Linked DNA regions of Saccharomyces cerevisiae S288C. Changing the gene in region 2 together with the main gene of any one other region gives a genetic interaction. Each region holds a gene or a part of one and is shown on either strand. Other genes may lie near its edges. The genes, in order: CCH1 and FIG1.

What was found.
Region 1: mutations in FIG1 (region 2) and CCH1 impair growth when combined (synthetic growth defect), as found in Saccharomyces cerevisiae (2 studies listed by BioGRID, with this or other methods).

What each region holds. Positions count from the first base shown.
Region 1 is NC_001139.9:923,094-930,973, reverse strand, and holds CCH1 (calcium channel protein CCH1), read right to left. Parts: upstream 6,279-7,880; coding exon 159-6,278; downstream 1-158. Other genes in the region: GPI1 (phosphatidylinositol N-acetylglucosaminyltransferase), read left to right, coding at 6,512-7,880. UniProt on the Saccharomyces cerevisiae protein: Voltage-gated, high-affinity calcium channel that functions together with MID1 to mediate calcium entry into cells. Required during conditions of environmental stress.
Region 2 is NC_001134.8:314,697-318,400, forward strand, and holds FIG1 (Fig1p), read left to right. Parts: upstream 1-2,271; coding exon 2,272-3,168; downstream 3,169-3,704. Other genes in the region: chitin synthase CHS2, read left to right, coding at 1-93; ATP3 (F1F0 ATP synthase subunit gamma), read left to right, coding at 879-1,814; long-chain fatty acid transporter FAT1, read left to right, coding at 3,570-3,704. UniProt on the Saccharomyces cerevisiae protein: Required for efficient mating.

The DNA.
Region 1 (7,880 bases), on a different chromosome or scaffold from region 2:
GTTCGATTCCGGGCTTGCGCATTTTTTTCTTTTCTTTTTTCCCTGAATAGTAAAGTTTGACATGCTCTAGAAAATCACCTCTCAATAAAACAAATTTAAATTATTCTTATTGTTCATTTTTACATCTATAAAGCCTCTTAAATATGCCCTTATATAATTTATCTATCAATTAGATCATTTGCGCTATCGTCATTATTATCTATTGGTTCTTCCGGGGGCTCCATCGTAGAGTCTTGATTCATTCTCGGAGACCACATAAAATTGTTAACACCGTAGTCCATTCTAGGTGTCGCAATAGGTTCTCTTTCTAAAATTCCTGGAGCAGGTTCCAGATTTACGTTTATATTCGAAATGTGAGACGATACTGTGGGATCTTTAACATCCCATTCGGGTTCAATGGTACGTTTCATCCTGCAATGAAATTTCCATCTTGTTACCACCATCTCCAATACATCGAAGTTTCTTTGATTTTCTAAGTACTTGTCCACTTTACCCAGGATATATAGATGATGGACATATTGATCAATACCTAGACATTCCCTTGCAGAATAAGCTGTATAGAGAGGTATTTGTAATAACAAATCCGAGAATCTGATACATCCATTATAAGCATTCGTATAGTGAATGCTTTGTACAAATCTTCTGTACTGTAACTTCCTCTGTATGATCTTTGCTTTATCAATCGTATTCAGCTCTTTGTTCAGTCCGATCAGGTCTATTTTGACGTCATATGGATCATCTGGGTTAACCTCCATGTAGTTCTCGACTAGACTTTTTATTGTCAATCTACCTTCCCAAATTTTAAATGAAAGAGGACCGTCAAATGAATGCATTATTCTTGGGAGGTAGGACAGCTCAAGCTCGCCAGTTCCATCAGTATCAAATTTGGACCAAGCTTCAATGTATTTTTTTATCTCCGATCTGTTGATGCCAGAGCGAGATCCACCGCTACGGTAAACATAACTGAAATTACCAATAATCAACGAAACAAACATATTCACAAAAATATACATGGAAATAATATTCCACGACATTAATAACAAATAGGCATATGTCTCTGATCCACAGTCCGTATAGGTTGAATTATCATCAGAGGAGCAATAAGGTTCTGACACAGTTAGGTCGGCCATGATATAATTCCAGCCCTCACCAAAACTACATCTAAACAGAACAATCATGGATTTGATTACAGTTCTAAAATTTATGTTATCGGTCGTATTACTCCCTAACCTTGTTAGGCCGAAGATTTGATTCAAAGCAATAGCATATACTAAAAATAAAACCCCCCAAGTGTAGGTCAATGATAGAATAGGCGGTAAGCTTGCCATTGCGGTTTCTAATAGTTCAGTTAGTGTGTCATTTTGAGGAATAATAAACAAAAATATCACTAACAGGAAAAACCCCTTTATATTGTGGAACCAATAGTGAGAGGCTGGAACGTGGAATGCTACAGCGTTCATAATAAAGGCTATAATTATGATACTGAGTCGTATGCTGTTCCATTTTTGCCTAAAATATAATCTTGGTCCTTCACCGCACATGTGAAGTGCCTCTTGAATTAAAAAAACACTAGTGGAAAACATAAAATAAACACCTTGATAACCTATCAAGTTTCCTGGATTGTAGCTTCGACTCAGGAGCATGATTATGTGCAAATAAAGTACTACCTGAAGAAACGATGCGTAGTAGAAATTTTTTTTCTCCACTGCAAGTTGATAGAAAAATTGCCTAACTCTTGATAACTCAATTAAATTTGGGATAGCTTTTGGCTTGGCCTGAGATAAAAGTTTCTGGGATTCCAGCCACGCCTTTTCCTCAATGGTAAAGTAAGCGCTTCCTGTTGTCCTTGCTTGGTTGTTAACAATGAATGAAACAAACAAGTTCAGGATGAAAACCATACTTAAAAAATTAAACAGAACGAGGAATAAAGCATTCCCTGCTGAACCCATTACCGTAGCGGGTGTACCTATTCCTGAACTATTCATCATATTTTCCAACAAATCAACCCATCCTTCCAAAGAAATGATTTGGTATAATGAACTAAAAGCGCTTGCGAAAGAGTCCAAATGAAGATATGGTTGCTGGTAAACCCTTGGAGACATGATATCCCATTGAAAAACGGAATTTGAATATTCATTGTAACAATCTGCACGGCCCAAACTTCCGTCATTGCAAGTACCTAAACGGCCTTTAAAAATGCTTAAGCCCCAAACTGTAAATGGAAATAGCAAACTGAGTGAAATCAACCCAGCTTCAAAAATTTTATTTAAACCATCAAACATAACTAGGTTAAATGTTTGACGAGCTGTGTTACTGATCGTGAGGCATCTGAGGGCCCTCAGGGCTGTCAATCCCTTGAAAATCCTAGACAAATTTCCATTGTTTTTTAGGTATGCAATTAAATTAATCCACATTGAGATTAGGACACAAAAATCAATAAAGTTCCATGGATTCCTCAGGTAAGCATTTGGAGAATATATAAATCCGTCAGCTACTGTTTTCACGATAAATTCAATTGAGAAGGCACCAATGAAGGCGCAATCTAACGCCGAGGACCAATTCCAAGTTCCCATCTTGTGATGCATACGATATAGAGGCGTAACATAACATGAGCAAACAATTAGTAAAATGGTGGCAAGTGCGAAAATGAATACAAATACATCTCTTTCAATATGATGAAAATAGCTCCTTTTATTGTATAGATCAGTGCTATCCTCGAAAAATCGTGATCCATCAGTCCTTTTTCCAGTGCTTGGTGGTACCAAGCGTTGACAGAACCTTCGAAATCTATGCTGAGGAGAAAAGAAATAATATGAGTAATTGAATAAAGGGTACTTTTTTAAATAATCTAGCTTCTCATCCTCGTACTCATTCAACTCCAAGATATACGTCCTCCCATTTATATCGTTCGTTTCTGTAAACACAACGTCACTATTTTTATAAAATGGATTATTAGCAAACATTCTCAGCCTTTTTAGTGACGGAACCCCAATTGTGAGCTTTGATAAGCCCTTTTTAAATAGGTTTTCTGAAGGTGGCTCTTTGAATTCATCGGCCAACTCCCCCATATTCTGCGCTATGTTCATTATCGCGGTTCCTCTCATAAGAAATTGCTTAAAATCTCTTGTATCTTCGTTCCTATGACCTCCAAAGAATTTTTTACGAATTCTCGCAACCAAACTAGCGTGTGTATATTCTTGTATTTTCTGAGGATAGACGAACTTAAGATAATGCTTAATTTGCTGTGGTCGTTTTTCTTCTTCTTTCACTTCCATGCTTTCTGATATTAGGGCAATGAAAATGTTCAAGATCACTGAGTTGGATAGTAGAAACCATATAATAAAAAATACTGAGCAAAAAAAAGTTGAGGAGATGTTTGGTGAGTGTTTTTGGAGGGCATATAGGATATCCGTCCAATTTTCAGTTGAACCTATTATAAACAAAGAAAGAAATGAATTCGGTAGTGAATACATTCCAAATGGCTGGTCTGCCATTTCTTCTGGAGGAATCACGCCTTCGAAATACACAGCCATGATTATAGCAACCAAAAAGGTGAAAAAAAAGTAAAAAGACGATAAGTTCCAAATCATAACACCATTACTCAATATTTGTTTCCATAGTTTTTTTGTTAAATTGAAAGAAATAATCACCCTGTAAAATCTGGATATGTGGAATATGGATAGCCAGGCATACATATGTCCTAGAACCCCTTCAACAGCCAGGCAACTAATAACCAGAGTAATAATTGATATAATAAAATCGTAAACGTAACTAGGTTTTGTTAAAAACTTCCACATATTGGGCAGATATAATACTAACCTTGCCAGTGATTCGATGAAGAGAACAATCGAAATTCCCCTGTCAGTTTTTAGAAGGATATTGTTACAGTTTGCCGAAGTCGATACTTTAACAGAGGCGCGCATACCTATATCGCAAATAATAAGTATGACAAAGATAAACTCAACGTGGGAATAAATAGCTAGTCCTTTTTGGGACCAATTTGGGAATTTTGTCTGATTCGCCTTAAGCTTAAAATATTTCCAGTAGCCTGTTACTATGCGAGCAACATAACCTGTCTTTCTAGAACCATATATGAACTTTTTCTTTTTGTACTCCTCATTGGCTATTTCAAAAGATGATACCAACACTGCAATGAGTAGATTTAGCAGCCAGATAGTTAAAACAAAGATGCAAACAATAAAAAACAAACAGGCAGCCATTTCATCCGAATCCATCGTATAGTACATTAAGTCAGTAAAAGTATTCGCACTCATAATGACAAAAACGAGCTCCATGGAATTAACAATATTATCAAAACTAATTCTGCCGTTGTAGGGGTTGGCATTGGAAACACATTTCGAATATTGTGGGCAAAGAAAGCCTTTTGAAACAGAACCTTCTGATCCGTCTTCATAGATATAATTTTGTTTTCGTTTTGTTACTGGATCTAGGTAACCACCACAGAATTGCATATCGTACTGGTAAGTATCGGTAGGATCTTCAGGGTTAAACCATACACATTGTCTTCGAAAAGAGCCCTGAAAAATCTGTACTCCCAAAATCCCAAAGAAAATCCAAAAGTAAACTAGCATTGAACTAACATTTACCAACTGTGGGATACCATATTTCAATCCCCTTAGAATTGAGGGCATACCAGTATCCACGTTTACAAGTCGAAGAATCCTTAATATAGCAAGGGGCTTGAATATTCTTATGCCTGTTTTTGTATCATAACTTTTTATGGATAAAAACATACCTAGCCAAAAACTGACAGAAGATACCAGATCTATTCTATTCCACGATGATCTCGCAAAGGCTCTTGGGGTGCCAAAAGGCCTCTGATTTTCCTTTGCCCCATAAGGTTTCGTCAGGGAAGTACTCAACGAACTTCGTTGATATTTTGTCTCTTCTCCCGGCGATATGATCCTAAATGGAATAATGAAATCTATTAGCTTTCTACCATACTTTTCTCTCAGATATATGTATAGTTTCATAATTCCAGATCTCTGTAAGATTGATTTATACTCACGTCCATAGGCTTTAAACATTTCAGAATCGTCCCAAAATCCAAACGCAATTATTTTAGCAATATCATTGCCTGTAAAGCAAGCTGATAAAATAAAAATGAAATAGTCGGTCCAGTTAGAGAAACGGTATAAAAAAACCACATTGTGAGGGTTATATGTCCTTATCGCCAGGAGAATGGCATAAAATGTTAACAAAGTGTTGTAAAGTAACGAATACCGCCTATGCAACAAAAAACGAGCAATTTTTATTCTTAGCGGATTCGTAGGCGAGAAAACCCCAAGAGAATGTCCATAAAGCACAAAGGGCCTTGATTCCAGTTTTCTTTGAAGGGTTTCAAAATCTAGAATGTCTTCAGCATACTCAATAACTTCTGTTTGGTCTTTATCTTCTTTTTGCGGTGATAAATGATGAAAAAACTTTGGACTGGGTTTCTTTCTTGAATTATTAATAGAGCCTTCTAGACCCTCAGATACCGAACCATTCTGCGCGGGTTCGGGTGTTAGATGAATTGATCCTGGAGTAGCGCTTGCTCCTACATTGGGTGTATGAACGTCAGGTATAGATTCTTGTTCTCCTTCTCCTCTATCTTCTCCAACGTCTGATACAGGACGGCTTTTTTCTGATTTTAATTGGGGTAGCCATGTCAGGCCCTCTTCGTCTATTGCACTTTTAAATCCCTTTTGCAAATCTTCAAAATCATCCATATCATCAGCGGCAATTAGCGATAAAACCTTTGCCGACCGTGGAGGCCTATCCGTTGAGCTTGGTGAATTAGAAACACGCCTACTAGATGATCGGCTATAACTACTGAAGCTACGCCTGCGTAGCCTTTCATCATTTAAATCAATATACTGCGAACTAGACTTGGCAGATTTTGTAGAGGGTGAAACATTACGCCGGGAAGATTCAGCGGCACCAAATGATGCTGTTTTAAGTGAGAGTTTAGGCCTGCTCAAGTTTTCATGACTACTCCTTCCGACACGAGTACGAAATATGTTGGAGATTAAGGAGCTATCTTTATCATTTCCATTGTACTCGTCACCTTTTTTTTCTTCAGTACTGTGGATGCTGCTCTCTGGTGGCACGATATTTAAAGCTGGTGGGACCAAAGCTTGTGGTTTTGATTCTAGACGGTTACCATCTGTTTCGCTGTTATCCTCAACATTTTCCGTCATTACTGCTGCATTGTCCCCAAATGGATTGGTATTTGGCTCAAATGGTTCCGTAAGCGTCCTTTTTCTCCCCTGCATAGTACTAACAATATATTCTATTTAGTAATGCCGTGTATTTTGATTTTCCTTATGTTAGCTTGTCACCAACCATTGATTCATGATCTTCTATCTCATCTATATTTATTTTCAGTGAGAATGCCGAAATGTAGAATATGAAAAAAACCTACCAGAACATAATACCAAAAAGAATGAAAATTCCTCTGTGAACAGGAACCTTCGAATTCAGGGGCGGTTTTATACAGTTAAATGACATGCCAAATTACATTTTCTGGCCATACGAATCCTTGTTCGAGAATTCCGCAGCTCAAGGACCTCAGGTAGCTTTGGCAATTTCATTTGAGAAGACGCATTTTGTTGTCTTAGGTGTTTGCGAACCTCAGTATTTAGAAGAAGTAAGCATACGGCCCCCTTATTCAGTGGTAGCTACTAAGAACAATGGAGCGGAGGGTTGGAACTACAAAGTTGCTGATCCCTGTAATGTCCATTTTAGAATACCCAAGCTGAAATTTATGCAATTCTATTCTTCTGATCCCATCTCGCTCATCATACCAGAAAAAGAAGTTGGTCTTCATAGTAGTGTGGGTGAAACTCTGAACTATTCTAAATTAGAGCAACATCCAAGATACAAGAGAGATAATAAGAAATTGAGTGAAACTTTGAACATCATTAATCTATTCCCCGCATATTGTAAAGCATTAAATGAGCTTTACCCGTTTATTCAAACATCACAGGAAAATTTGAGGGGTACTATGCTTAATAGTGTCGCAGCTTGGTGTTCATCTACTTGTATTTATAAAATGGTCGCAAAAATTGGTTTTTATTTGACTTTTGTGATCTGCTCTATTGCTAGTCTCGTATCCTCGTTATTAAATTATTCGCACTTTCAGTTGGTAAATTACTCGGCATTTGTCCAGCAAATCGATCTTCGTTGTCAACAAATTTGCTATTTCCCAGTACAGTATGAGCGTATTAATAAGAAGGATAACATACAGAATGTTGGCTCTATGGTGGAAAAAGATAATTCTAATAGTCAATTCTCACATTCATATATGCCTTCTAAATTCTATCCCGATTATATTTTATTGTATAATACAATTTGGCTTATTATTAATGACATTTCATTTGGTTTAATATTGGGGGCCATACTTATTGAGAATCGAGATTTCTTGGTGTCGGCATCCCATAGAGTATTGAAGTTTTTTTTATATGATTCATTAAAAACAATAACTGAAACGTTAGCAAATAACCCCCTTGGCATCAAATTAAATGCAGAACTTGCGAACTTTTTGAGCGAATTATTTCTTTGGGTGATAGAATTTTCTTATACCACATTCATAAAAAGACTCATTGATCCGAAAACCCTATCATCTTTGCTCACGTTAACGATATATATGATGTTTCTCGTTGGCTTTTCTTTTGCTGTTTCCCTAGCGATTGATTTTTTTGCAATTTTAAGTTTTCCAATATATGTTTTTTATCGTATCAGCAGTAAACTGTACCATTGTCAGTTGAATATTATGGCTAGTCTTTTTAACCTGTTCTGCGGTAAAAAGAGGAACGTTTTACGAAATAGGATTGACCATAACTATTTTCAACTAGATCAATTGCTATTGGGAACAT
Region 2 (3,704 bases):
ATAATAGTGAGTTACAGAAATAAAGTTGAAGGTAGCGGCTCATGGGAAGTCTCTAAATTAGACTTACCAAATGTTTTCCACAAAAAGGGCTAATGCCAGTATTTTTCAGCTAATTTCTCGTCATTCCCTCTTTTTTCTCATTCTGTTTTAGAATGTACAGGTTATGACAACCATTACCTTCTAGGATATTTTGACATTTCTCTCTTAGACTTTTTATATATAATATACATGTTTCAATACCAAATATAATGTAGCATAACATAATCTATCTTTTTACTCATAGACCTTTACTTTCCTCTCTAAAAGCCGTGTCGCAGTAACTGGTGACGCTAAAGTTCTCCGGCGTTTTTTTATGTATGAGCTGGGCATCAAGAGCTTTTGAGATTTTCCAAGTAGTAACTCATCTTTCTGAGTGTGCTATCAAATACATACTAAGGAGAATAAACTCTTGTTATTACGTATTCTTCATCCTTATGGGTAGAGAGCGCACTGTTTTAGTACATTTTCTAGACGTCGAAACGTAGAGCAATTGTCGATAAAACAAAAAAAAAGTAAGAAGATATATGAATAGGAGCTGTCGCTAGAACTAGTAAGTATATGATGGAGATATAATAAGTGAATTATTCGATATTTAATGAACGTTCTCATTTATTTGGAAGAAATGTTTATCACGTGATGGAGAACCAATGAGCGGCGAGTAACTACGCGAGGAACCCGGACCGCAATAACGATTAAAGAAGGCCCGGAAGGGAGATGCTTAAATGATTATCACTCAGTTAAAAAAGACAAATAAGAAACTATTGAGACTGAACCGTTTTGGTTAATTTCAGGTGGAAACAATTGAAGACGAGCAGTAAACATTATTTTATTTAGTAGTCATGTTGTCAAGAATTGTATCAAACAATGCAACACGCTCCGTAATGTGCCACCAAGCGCAAGTGGGTATTCTTTATAAGACTAACCCAGTGAGAACTTATGCTACTTTGAAAGAAGTGGAAATGCGTTTGAAATCTATCAAAAATATTGAGAAGATCACAAAAACTATGAAGATTGTTGCATCTACAAGATTGAGTAAAGCTGAAAAGGCTAAAATTTCCGCAAAGAAGATGGATGAAGCAGAGCAGTTGTTTTACAAGAACGCCGAAACCAAAAATTTGGATGTTGAGGCTACTGAAACAGGTGCTCCTAAAGAGTTGATTGTTGCTATCACCTCTGATAAGGGGTTGTGTGGTTCTATCCACTCTCAATTGGCTAAAGCTGTGAGAAGACATTTGAATGATCAACCAAACGCCGATATAGTCACTATTGGTGATAAAATTAAAATGCAGCTATTGAGAACCCATCCTAACAACATTAAATTGTCTATTAATGGAATTGGTAAAGATGCCCCAACTTTCCAAGAATCTGCTTTGATTGCCGATAAGTTATTGAGTGTCATGAAGGCCGGCACTTACCCAAAGATTTCCATTTTCTACAATGACCCAGTGTCTTCCCTATCTTTTGAACCATCTGAAAAACCGATCTTTAACGCCAAGACCATTGAACAATCCCCATCATTCGGCAAATTTGAGATCGACACGGACGCAAACGTTCCAAGAGATTTGTTTGAATATACTTTGGCTAACCAAATGTTGACAGCAATGGCTCAAGGTTATGCTGCTGAAATTTCCGCCAGAAGAAACGCTATGGATAACGCTTCCAAGAATGCCGGTGATATGATCAATCGTTACTCTATCTTGTACAACAGAACAAGACAAGCTGTCATTACTAATGAACTGGTTGATATTATTACTGGTGCTTCCTCTTTGGGATGATAAAAAAATCACCCTGCATTGCCTCTTTATTTGACGTTGTTTTTGTAGAACATGAAACGAATTTTGACTTGATGAGACGAAGTATATATCCAAAGAATACCTTAAATAGAAAAGGAAAGATAATAAATACTAAACACTACTATATATTCAGGTAAAATACAAAAATTATAACATTTTTAAAACTTTTTTTTTTTGAAAGTCCTTCTCGCTTTAGGATTTTTTCCCATTAAGATTATGATGGTTTCATGTATGTGTCAGTTAAAAAAAATATGGCTAAGTAGCAATGAAACGAACCAAGAAAATGAAAACAATATATAGTGCTGTTGAAATAACAAAGACATTGGTATATATTTGTAAAATGTCTGTTAAATGTTTTTTATCTCAGGTTCTTGCTTGTCTTTGGTAGAAGAAATTATAGTAAACAAACAAACAAACAAACAAAAAAAAAAAAAAAAAAATGGTCGCAATCTCAATGATTTGGTTTTTTACCAAGCGTATGCCCAGAATATTTGCATTAGCTTTTAATTTAATTTCAATATTTCTTTTGATTTTTCTTCTCATCGGCTGTTACAACCCGTCAAATCAGTCAACATTTCTAGTGAAGTATAAATTTGATGACAACTCACCTTTTTATACGATCATAGAGAAATCATATGAAAAATCAAATACAACTCTGGGCTTGGAGGAAGTCATTATAAGATCCGGTTACATGGGTGTTTGTATTGATAACATTCCCTCCCAATATAGCTCTTACAATAATATGACTACATTCTCCAATTCAATTTGCTATGCAAGAAAGAATTTAAGCTCGGTTCCCTTATACAGAGACTTGGAAATTCAACTCTCAAATATTGCATCTTCCAGCTCCAAAACCCAATCAAGCGTTGTCTTGAACATTTTGAAGTTAGCCCAATTAACTTCGGTTAATGTTATACATCCATATGTCTTGATGGCAACTGTAATCCTAACAATCCTAATGTTTCTATTTATTCTGTATGTAACTGTCCCTAAGTTACCATTCAAACTAGCGGTTAATAAATTTCTACTGTTGCTAAGTTCAACTATAGTTTTGACATGGGGTATTGGTGCGATGTGGACTCATGTAGGGATAAATGCAAGTTACAGATTGGTTCCATCATCAAGTATGAATATAATCACTGTCAAGAAGGGCAAGAAGGCAGCAGTAATGGCTTGGTTTAGCTTTGCATTCCTCCTTTTAGACAGTGTGGTTTTATGGTTAATATTTTTAAGGGATAGGAAAAGCTTGAAAGATGAAATTGATAATGTTCCATGTGCCCAAAATAGGTACAATAACTACTCTTCGGATTCATCTACATTGCATTCCAAAGTTTAGTTTTATCCTCAAATAAACATATAAGTTTTGAGCGGATATTTCAGAATGTCAATTTTTAAAAGTAAAAGGAGAAAAAATTTATATAATTCACGATTAACATTATATAATGTGATGAACTACTTAAAAAATTTAACGTTCGATAATTAAGTAACAACAGAGAAAATATGAGCTTACCTAAACTCTAATCATTACCGTCTGTTTTATTTACTGTCACCTTGATGAGCGACTAAAAAGATAGAACGCGGGTTTTTCGCGCAATGTAACAAAGCTCCAGAAATTTTTTATAAATACTAATGTTATAGCAAAAAAAATAAGGACCTTAAAGTCGTAAACTAAATTGAAAAGCCCAAATCATTCAAATTCTATATCGTTGAACTTTTAATAGGCTGCGAATACCGACTATGTCTCCCATACAGGTTGTTGTCTTTGCCTTGTCAAGGATTTTCCTGCTATTATTCAGACTTATCAAGCTAATTATAACCCCTATCCAGAAATCACTGGGTTATCTATTTGGTAATTATTTTGATGAATTAGAC